2 linked regions of the Coturnix japonica genome follow. The protein of the gene in region 2 interacts with the protein of the main gene of each other region in a pairwise test. Links are inferred from orthologs where the notes say so. Each region holds a gene or a part of one and is shown on either strand. Other genes may lie near its edges.

Evidence for each region.
Region 1: the proteins of KRR1 (region 2) and RPS14 interact in binary tests that used the Homo sapiens proteins (3 or more experiments, as listed by UniProt). The link is inferred for Coturnix japonica from reciprocal best matches to the Homo sapiens genes KRR1 and RPS14.

Annotation. Positions count from the first base shown.
Region 1 is NC_029528.1:4,931,410-4,937,651, forward strand, and holds RPS14 (40S ribosomal protein S14), read right to left. Parts: upstream 4,353-6,242; 5' UTR 4,114-4,352; intron 3,021-4,113; 5' UTR 3,019-3,020; coding exon 2,870-3,018; intron 2,673-2,869; coding exon 2,511-2,672; intron 2,048-2,510; coding exon 1,971-2,047; intron 1,228-1,970; coding exon 1,160-1,227; 3' UTR 1,116-1,159; downstream 1-1,115.
Region 2 is NC_029516.1:34,295,997-34,300,916, reverse strand, and holds the end of KRR1 (KRR1 small subunit processome component homolog), read left to right. Parts: intron 1-332; coding exon 333-458; intron 459-557; coding exon 558-641; intron 642-1,357; coding exon 1,358-1,414; intron 1,415-1,627; coding exon 1,628-1,798; intron 1,799-1,967; coding exon 1,968-2,045; intron 2,046-2,150; coding exon 2,151-2,244; intron 2,245-2,533; coding exon 2,534-2,676; 3' UTR 2,677-3,151; downstream 3,152-4,920. UniProt on the Homo sapiens protein: Part of the small subunit (SSU) processome, first precursor of the small eukaryotic ribosomal subunit.

The DNA of each region.
Region 1 (6,242 bases), on a different chromosome or scaffold from region 2:
CAGCATGGGAGCTCGAGCTGGAGACGAGGCTTGACAGGAGCAACACACCCTGGATCTCATTCAGGCTGTGCAGCTTTGCTAGAACAGAGCCTGCTTTGAGAACACAACAAAGCTGTTAGTCACAGCACCCTTTCTGGTAATGAGGAAGGTGGGTAGGTAAAGGAATCCAATGAAGTATTTTAAGTTTTAAAGGTGTTGGAAAGAGCCTGTGACAAAGCAGTGAGGTTCTCAGCTCTCAGGATCCTGAGGCCCACATTGATTCACATTTACCACATAGCTGTGCTGAAATCCCCAGTTCTCATCAATCCTGATAAATAAGCCACAGCTACCAGCACTTAAACCCGACCACAAGTATTCCTGGACAACCTCAAGTGCTGGATGAGCTCACTCACTCACTGCCAAGCCAAAGCCCCACTGAGAAGGGTGGAATTGCAATAGAGGAAGATGATGACAAGCACCTGAACCACCCACTGCACGCTGTGCTGCCCAGCAATCACACAACAGCACGAGGCTGACCCATGTCAAAGCAGGTACTTCTGTATGAGGGCTGAAGTCACCACTTCCTGGGGGGAATTCTGATCATTTCAGCTCTCTTGAAAGGCAGAATCTATTTTAACTGCCAGCTTGATGCTGCAAGCATAAAGGAACTCAGTCATCTGAAGCTGTACATCTCAAATACCACATGCCAACGTCTTCCCTTGGTATAAAAGCTTACTATAGCCAAAGAAGTGGCAAAAACAAGTGATTTCAAAGCTTGGAGAGCTAAGGAAAAGGACCTTTCGAAAAGGTGGAAAAGGGCATTTATTCATTCCAGATGATGGCAGCACATTTAGTGGAGAGTAAACAACAGTGCAGGAAGCAGGGCAGGACCAGGAAACAGTCACTTCTCTTAAACACATCTGGAAGCATAAATATACCAACAGCACAGCTGAGAGCAGTAAGCCAGCACCTACCTAGTGTGTATTCACACAGCAACTCTGTTACAGCAGGACTAACAACCTCCCCACAAACAGGAAGCCCCACTTCAGAGGGAAATTCAGAATAAGCCATTCGTGGATGCCATCAAACTAAAGCTGCTCAACTTCCAAGCATCGTTCAGTAAGCAAACGCACAGACCAAGTTTATAAGAGAGCTTTAATGACAAAAGGTGCAGCACTGTTTACAGACGACGTCCACGGCGACCACCCTTCCTGCGAGTACTGTCAGAGGGGATGGGGGTGACATCCTCTGTGGGAGAAAGAAAACCAAGAAACCCTCCGTTACCTGACAGAGGTACCTCCAAGAAACCAACTGGGAAAACCCACCCAGCCCAAGCAGTCACCTTAAGCAGCCTGTCACCGCAGAATGAACTGTCTATAGGAGGTAAGACCTGTGAACTCACCAAATGAGTTCAGCCCCAAGGCTTTTAAAGCTTAGGACACAAACATCCCCATCTCCCAGCTCACCTACATAAGAAGCCACGGGATTTCTAGAGAAACAGTTTGTGCATGATGCAATTCTGAGGGCAGCTGACACTACTACGCCTTCCTTACAACTTCCCCACCAAGTTCAATGATCTCCCTCAAATAGTTTGAGGAATTCAAGTTATTTCTGAGTCATGGTCTTAAACCAGGACCAGCACAACACTTCTAGGTAACTAAACTGCTGCTCTGGGAAAAAGAACAGTTACATCAGAGGCCCATGAGCATCCCAGTGTACAGCTGAGGTTTATTACGCAGCCAAAAGCTTGATAATCTGGAGTCGACTGACGCCACCTTCTGGCTAAACTTCACTGAAACAAGATGCATCTGCTTCCACTAAATTACACCTACAGCAGCATCAGACAAAGGCTAAGCACAACAGTCCCAAGTCAACCTGTCACACACGTTCACAGAGCTCCTTCTACTTAATAATCCCTCAAAACCTTTTCAGAGTAGCAAGGCTCTACACAGAGGCACGAGTGCCCACAAATCACATTCTCCATTACTCACCAATGCGGCCGATCTTCATCCCAGACCGGGCCAGAGCTCTCAGAGCTGACTGAGCACCAGGACCTGGAGTCTTGGTCCTAAAGGAAAGAATCACAACTAATAATCCCTTAAAGATTCACAAGTTTAACATAAATAACAAATAACTGTCAATTTAAAAGAAAAAAAATCACTTTTCCCTGCTCCAAAACACTCAGATATCAAATTCCCTTTCTTCCCCTTCCAGATCCAAACTATTCACATGCAGTCAAGCACACTTTATTGTCACTCTATGGTAACATATCTTCAAGTTTAAAAGCTCCTCTTTTCACTGCCACAAATAAATACATAACAGCACACCCAGGTACATCCAACTGAAAATGATACTTTAGAACAGATCCCAGCTGCTCAGTGAAAAGCAATGTCAGCCAAACACCCTGTGTCAGAACCAAACTCCCAAGGTGCATTTACACTGCCAACTTGAGCAGTGCAAGAACACAAAGACCAGAGGACAATCAGATGTAACCTGGTCTAGTTCATAAAGCCAAGCAGTCTCTGACATACCTATTCCCACCGGTAGCCCGCAGCTTGATGTGCAGGGCAGTGATGCCCAGCTCCTTACACCTCTGGGCAACATCCTGGGCTGCCAGCATAGCTGCGTAGGGAGAGGACTCATCTCTGTCAGCCTTCACCTTCATACCACCAGTCACACGGCAGATGGTTTCCCTGCAAAAGAACCCATTCAGAAACAAAGCAGTTCCCCTTTCCTTCCTGCCAAACAGCCTCGATGCACTGACAGAACCACGTCTCTATTTCAGTAGAAACTCAAGGATTTCTGCAGACATCCATGTCAAATATAATTACTCTTTTCCAAAGTGAAGGAGCCGGGTAACACAATGAGGTGACCAGTGTGCAATACTCACTTGCCAGAGAGATCAGTCACGTGGACAAAAGTGTCATTGAAGGAAGCAAAGATATGGCAGACCCCAAACACATTCTCGCCTTCAGCAACCTGAGGTCCCAGGCTGATGACCTGTTCTTCTTTCTTCTCCTTGCCCTTACGAGGTGCCATTTCTGAACAAAGAGCAGAAACATTTCAGAACTGCATCTTGGCTTAGCAGGGCTGCACTTCACAGAAGGAACTGAGATGTGCTTTATCACAGCTGTTTGCTGCATGGGCTACCACAACAGTGTGAGGAAACCCCTTCCACGATGACCAGCAGCACTGAGGACTTCCCCTCACTCATTTACTTAATGGAAGCCAAGACAACATCAAACAAAACATTTACTAAAGACCCAGACACTATCACAAAGCTCTCAAAGACCTTTTGAGTCCCACCAGGGGCTCATTAGCCACCTAACCACACCGCTGGGTCCAGTTCAAGTGCTGCTTCTGCCTCTAAAGCCTTCACTGATGTGGAGGATGGCAAACATAGCATGCCAAAGTGTTTGGATAGGTGCCCACACATCTGCTCCTATTGTCAAACAGGGTCTGAGGCCTTCGACTAGAAAAGAAAGAATTATAACGATATTATAAAGGAAATCAGCTCAGAACACACCCTGCTTTCACCCCAAAGCCTCTACAGAGAGCAGCACTTAAACCCGGTTGTTAAACAGGGGCCAACACGGCCACTCCAAAGCTGAATCCCCTTCCTGACACACTTGGTGCAAGGCTCCACCGCCATTACTACCCTGCAGTAACACAGAAGCTCACACAGCCATTGAACTCAGTCACATTCACCTCAGTCACGCCACTATAAGCCTCAGAGCGAGGGACCCTTCTCCCTCCGGCCGCCCCCTACCCCTGGCGGGCACACAACACCGCCAGCTCCCGGCTCGGCTGAGGCCTAACACCGCGGCCTAAACACCGCGGCCTAAACACCGCGGCCTAAACACCGCGGCCTAAACACCGCGGCCTAAACACCGCGGCCTAAACACCGCGGGCCTAAACACCGCGGCCTAAACACCGCGGCCTAAACACCGCGGCCTAAACACCGCGGCCTAAACACCGCGGCCTAAACACCGCGGCCTAAACACCGCGCTCCGCCGGCACTGAGCGCGCTGCTCCGCTCGGCCCCGGTCCCGAGGAGACGGGCAGCGGGCAGGGACAGCACAGCGAACCGGAGGAGATTGGATGGCGGCGGATACAACACAACGCCGCGCTCACCTGCACGTCTGCTCCGCCGGCCGCCGCTGGAAAGGAAGTGATGGGGGTCAGGAGGCGGGATTACCGCGCTCACCCGGAAGTGATGGCGGCTACGGGCGGTTTCCGCCGGCACGGAGATATTTGTGGTATCGCTGAGCAGCGCTTTGCCGTTCTCTATACAGAGCCCGGCGGTCCCGTTAGCACCGTAAATAACGCTACGGAGCAGAACCGGCCGCGCTTCCCTCACGTGTCCCCTCCCCAAGATGGCGGCGCCCTCCCCTCATGTGTCTCCTCCCCAAGATGGCGGCGCCCACCCTTCCGGTCTGTTCTCCCCAAGATGGCGGCGCCATCTTTCCGAGCCATCCCCGCCCTGAGGGGAGTCTGTCCTGAGAGCTTCTTCCTTTCGTGTTCGATAAGGGCCGTGTTACGTACCTATAAACGCTGCTTAATAGTGCTGTACGACATGTCTGTGAGGCATAAGTCCTCTCCCTATGGGATGGGACACACAGCAGGTGCCCCACACCTGAGGGCTGCTCTCCTTGGCGCTGCTTTAGCGCCAGCTTCGTGCTGCTGACAGAGCTGTGCTGGGAGAGCTTTACAGACACAGGCCTGAGCTGGTTGCACGAACATTTCTTCATAAACAAATGGCAGGGGGTTGCTCCGGTCCCCTGCGAAAGCCTGGAGTAATTCGACAGGACAGCATTGTTTTTCCACTGAGGCTTCATTAAACCTTAGTGGCCACAAAGAGGGTGCAAGTATGACTCTGTTTGAAGCCAACAAAATCCCACGCTGTGCAAGAGGCTTGAATGGAGAATGGGAGATTCTGCTTCGCTCCTAACCCATCGTGCCATCAGGTGACTCCTAGTTATTGAGGTATTGAGCTATTAAGGTCTTCATCCAGAAGGACAACCGCCGCTCTGTTCAAGGCTTCTGATTAAGACCTTAAACCCCAAGCTTAATGTGCAGCGACCTTGCCTGACCCATTAAAGAAAACCAAACAGACAGACTCTACAATAAACATCCCTGTTGACATTGTGGACCTTCAGCCCCTTTGTTCAGCTGTCTGATGCCAGGAGGCTCGTGGATGAGGCTTACCTGCTAATGTAGCCCAGCTGCACACACTGCTTTGTGCTAAGACATCTCTGCAGAAAGCAAGTAGGTTTCTAATGCTGTTAATGTCTTCCTTATTTCCTGTAAGAGCTGGATGCGTAGCGTTTTCTGTCATTCTCACTGAAGATTTATGAGTCTATGAGGGGGTATTTTGGAATTATTCCCATAAAGGGATGTACTTAGATATTTTAATATGTGGAAGTCTTCAGAGCATTTTCTCTTAAGGAGCTGGTGGGAGAGATTTAAATGCACATAATTCTCGGTTGGTAAGGCTGATGTTAGAGACATAGACTTTGTAGCTGTGAATGATGGTGCGGGGTCTCCCTCCTAGAACAATTATCATGGGAGATTTCTTCCACCTCTACAGCAAATAGAATGCCAATGTGTAAAGTTTTACATTAAGGCAATCCAGCGAGTGAATATTTAAATCAGTTCCTACTGATTTAAATAGGGCTCAGGAGAGAGATGGGAAACATCAAAGACCTTTGGAAAAAAAGACAGATCAAATCTGACATAATAGCATTTGCAATATGCTTTTTGGGCCTGATCCTGCTCTGCTTTTATAAATACCTCCTCAATTAAACCAGAGGAGAAGCAGATGGTTGCAGATGAGGTATGAGGGAAGCTCCATACAGTTGTTCCATGGGGGGGGATTGCACAATCTGAAAGCCTGAAAATACTTCTGCTGGGGGAGTCTAATGCCTCTGCTTAGACAACAGAACTTGCTGCTGGCTGGTGGGAAATTTCTGAACCTCTGTAGTGCCTGGAGCTTTTTTTGCTCGGGCATGAAAAGAGGTCAGTGCAATGAACGACTGCAGCTGAGCCCCTTTGGACAGCACAGCCTTTTGCTTCTGATGCTGTTGCTGTACCAGTTGTCCCCAGAGGAGCAGCTTCCATGTACACAGCAAGGCTGGTGTCTTTCAGGGTATCTTTACCCTTCTCTAGCCAAGCGTGCAAGGTCCCTCCTGGATGCAGCCCTCCCAGCTGCCTCTGGGGAGAACAGGTTTGTTCCATAGTGCTTCCCTGCACCTCCCTGCACC
Region 2 (4,920 bases):
TAAAGTTGTATGCTTTCAAAATATGGGTTTTTCAGGTAGTAGTGAAGTGCTGGAACAGGTCACCCAGGGAGGTATGTATCTACTCATCCCAGGAGATTCTTAAGGTCAGGCTGGATGGGGCTCTGAGCAACTTGATCTGCCTGTAGGTGTCTCTGTTCATTGCAAAGAACTGGACTAGATGACCTTTGAAGGTCCCTCCAATTCAAGTGATTCTATAATTATATGAAAATATATATTTAAAACAAACGTATCTGCAACTGAAATGAGTCTTTTGGCTCTTGTGAATGTTACTTTTGGATTCAGATGTTAATACCTGCTGCTTTTATCTTCAGGCAGTTCGTATTCTTCAGGACGATGTTGCGTGTGACATCATTAAAATCGGTTCCCTAGTGAGGAACAGAGAAAGTTTTGTAAAAAGAAGAGGACGACTTCTTGGGCCCAAAGGATCTACTCTGAAGGTATTCCTCATAAGTGTATTACCATAAAAAATCTTAAACACAAGGTCTGCGTGTCAGACCTTCAGCTGACACTATCTTTATTCATTTTTGTTGTTCTAGGCCCTGGAGCTGTTAACCAACTGTTATATTATGGTTCAAGGCAACACTGTTTCAGCTCTTGGACCTTTCAGTGGGCTAAAAGAGGTAAGGGAAGGCAGATGAGCAGTTTATGTAGCTCACTTTTGTGCCTAGCTGTGGCGTGGAGTACAGGCGGAGTCTGGTAGCCTCAAGAGTTACTCCACTGTCCTTTCAGTAACATGTTATTAAGCTACTTTTATGTGAATTCCTATAGGCTTAGCTCCTGAATTTTGTTAGCTGCTGAGATCTTTCCGCCTTGAAACTAAAAGTATTTTTTGTGGTTTTTTTTTTAAGGTAAGGCTTAGTAAAGATATCAAAGGGGCACCTTCATGTATTTCTGAATAGTGTGTCTAGTCCTGCCCCTTGGGCTTTTATTTCTGTAGCTTACAGTGCAGAATTTCTGTAGTTTCAGTTAAGAGGTTTGAGTGAAAACATCGCAGTGTTAATGTGATATAGCATGGATTAACATCTAGTATATTCTTAGTAATTCTAGAGGGAATAATAGATGTCAAAAGCTAAAACACAACATAACATCCATGATGGCATGAAAGTAGTGGTTGTTGTGATGCTGCAGTGTATCAGAAGCATGACAGTATAGCTAACGATATTTTTGAAGCACTGTGCCTTCTAATTGGCTTTGTAGTTTTTTTAGCCTATCTGCTCTTAGTTTTGGGGTGAGAAATGTTCTGATTTTGAAGAAACTTAGGGACCTTGATATTTTAATTGATTAGAGTATGAAGTACCTGCTGAGTGTTCCATTCATTTTCTTTTATTAAATACAGGTTAGGAAGGTTGTTCTGGACACAATGAAGAATATACATCCCATATATAACATTAAGGTTGGTGTGCACCTTTGAAAGCATTAAGTCTTTGTACACAGCTTTATGTTAATAATTCTATGTTTCAGTGTGTGCTATACGAATATATATAAATGTATATGTGTAAACTGTGCTATAAGAACCTTTGATAAAACTTTTAGTTTGGAGCTCTTAGATACTACTGCAATACTATTGTTTTATTAACTTCTTTGTGATGTTCTAAAACTACCAAAGACTTTGATGATCAAACGTGAATTATCAAAAGATCCTGAACTGAGGACACAGAATTGGGAAAGATTTTTGCCTAAGTTCAAGAAGAAGAACTTGAAAAAACGCAAGGAGCCAAAGAAGAAAAATGTTAAGAAGGAGTACACACCATTCCCACCTCCACAGCCAGAAAGCCAGGTCAGCTGAAACTTTATTTGGTTGTGCAGGAGTATATGGTGGTTTTAAATCCTGCTCTCGTTAAGATGAAGTTAACGGGCCCTTTCTGTCATGTTTTTGTTTCCTGATATTATATATCTTGCTTGTAATGTGTAATTGTCTAAAGCTTCTTGGTAATTTTCTTGTATAGATTGATAAAGAATTGGCAAGTGGTGAATACTTCTTGAAAGAAAGCCAGAAGAAACGAAAGCGAGTGGAAGAAATAAAGGTAAATTTGTTACAACCAGTTAAAAAGTGCTTCATTTCTGACTTTGGTTTTTTTCCCTTTTGCCCGGCTCTGTTGGTACTTCATACTTGTCATTGTTAACTGTAGGCAAAGCAAGCTGATGCAGTCAAGAAAAGACAAGAAGAAAGAAATAAAGCTTTTATCCCACCAAAGGAAAAGCCAGCTGTGAAAGCAAAGAAAGGTAAGTTGTTTTTTTTTCCCCCATTCTAAACCCTACTAGTTAATTCTCCACATAATTACTTTGTGTAAGATGTAGCCATTTGAATTCCGTTGAAAGATTTGTGTATCATGCTAGATTAAGTAAAAATGATTGGAATAGTTTATAAAATCATTAGTGAACATAAAATGAATCCTAACTAATGCTACGGGATGCAGTTTAATGTGGATACACATGAAGTAATCTCACAGGCTGTGGAAAAATAAGAGAAGTAAACCTTGTGTCTCTCTGTGCTCGTGTTTTTACTGTGTAGCTTCTACTGAGAAAAAAATTGATATTGAAGCCATCAAGGAGAAAGTAAAGAACGCAAAGAAGAAGAAATTAGGAGCGCTTCCTATGGAAGAAGTCAAGTTAAAAATGGCAGCAGATGAAAAGAAGAAAAAAAGGAAGAAGTAATTCACTGCTCATTCTGCTCAATTTTCTCCTACAATAATGAATGTTCTCACACTTGGAAAAACCAAGACTTGGAGGAAACTTCTTGCTGTCAATGTAGTGTGGATGAGAAATTACTAGGCAGAAAGATGGTTCTCTTTTCACAAGCCCATTTTAACAAATGGACCTGGAGCAGCTATGCAGAATTGTCAAAGTTGGTGAACAAAATCTGCTCTCTCATACCTTTTGAGTACATTTGGATAACACCTGTCTGCTTCGAGGACATTTCATATTAGAAACATTTAGAAGTTTGATGCAGAATGTGAAAGGGTAAAGGTTGGAGAACTCAGTGGGAGTTAAATGGAAATCTTCTATGAAAGACTACCAAAGAACTGTCAAGATGGGCAAGATTTATTACTTTTATTATGCTTTTACTTCTGTAAAAGCAGGGGGTTTTTTGTGTGTCTTGTCTTGATGTCAATAAACTGTTTTAATATATTGTCTTTAAATCCTTTAATTATTCACCTACTGCAAAACCCACATCTTGTATCCCTAGAAGCAACTCACAGCTTCGTGTGAGGATTAGACAACCATAATCTTAATTGAACACCATTAATAAATGGTCATTTATTAGCGTTATCTTGTTAGGCAGAATATGACACAAAGCAAATGTGCTGCAGGGAGAACATAAATGGTACCATTCTTTACATGTGTTCTTAATTTATTTCTTACAAGAAATGAGAACTTAGGTTCCTTTTAAACTTTAGGTTTCCTTTATTCAGCCCCTTCCCCTTTTTTTGAAGGAAGTATAGAGGTTATTTCCTAAAAGTGGAAATTATGATGAAATTGAGTACACTAGAAAAGCAGATGTTACTAAGTTGATGCATCTCAGGTTCGAGAAACAAATGTAATAGTAAGTAGGTGGTCGGGCCACACCAATTTCATGACTGTGTTTGAGTGCTTTACCAGACTTTAGAGTTCTGATTGCTTGCACATATGGTAAAGACGATTATGCTGGAACACTGCAGCTCACTTTGCTTAGGTTAGTGGCCTTTTATTTGAAACTGGTGTGAGAACACAGCTGTTTTCTTTGTTATGCGTCTAAATAAGAATTTAGAACATATGTTAAAGAGTCAGTGTGTGTGTGTGCATAGAGAATCATCTAGGACCTCTGCCCTTTAGGGTTGGGGACAATCTTGGTATGACTTTCAGTTACCTGGTCTGTTCTTGGAGTTTAGTTCTTGAAGAGGAAACACAGAATCACAGAATTGTAGGGGTTGGAAGGGACCTCTAGAGATCATCGAGTCCAACCCCCCTGCCAAAGCAGGCTCCCTACACCACGTCACACAGGTAGGCGTCCAGGCGGGTCTTAAATATCTCCAGAGAAGGAGACTCCACCACCTCCCAGGGCAGCCTGTTCCAGTGCTCAATACTCTGTCATTCATAAATGGCAGTTTAATTACTTATCATGTGAGAAAGTACTGCTCAACAGATGCTTCACTGAGAAAACAAGTAAACTGCACACCCATCACAGAAGCTGTAGTAAGCCGATACGTTTAGGGATACCAGCCCCATGATAAGCTCTTAGACACAGTACTTGATAGGTAGTGGTTGATGGCATGACAGGGAGACCTGAGTTCAGTGTCAGGTGGGTTAGATCTCTCAAGGGCTTGGGCTGTTCCCAGAGACACTGCAATAGTTTGGTTCTCGGTGTGATCCCACAAGTGAGTACTTCAACAGAGTAATTTGCAGAGCCTGAAGCCAGTAAGGAGGAGCTGAACTGGATCCAGGGGAGGTACAAGGAGAGAGTGTCCTCTGTTATATTACGGTCTGGATGAGACCTTTTCAATGCAGAGGGTCCCTGCAGCAAATTTCTGTTTGCTAAAATTTAGATCTTGTTCCATACACGTTAAAATACACGTGTGTGCTTCTGTGGAAGCGTGCATTTTGAATTTAAGTTCCCCAGCTGAGATCTCTACATAGATTTGGCATCAAAGCCCAAACCACAGTAGGACTTACTTGATTTCAGGGAGTCTTATCCTTTTGTCATGAGATGAAGGGGTTCTGTTTAATCTTCTTGGGTTGTTCTGGTTGCTGAGCTTCAAGGACTGTTGGTTAGGCATATATTTTCTTAAATGAGAAAATCTAGCAATGCTCTTCGTTCATAGCCAGAAGACAAACCAAGGCAAAGAAGTACCTCATGGCTGTTTTTATATCTGTATTTTGCAATTATCGTGCAGAAGTCATGGGCGTATGCCATAAAAACAA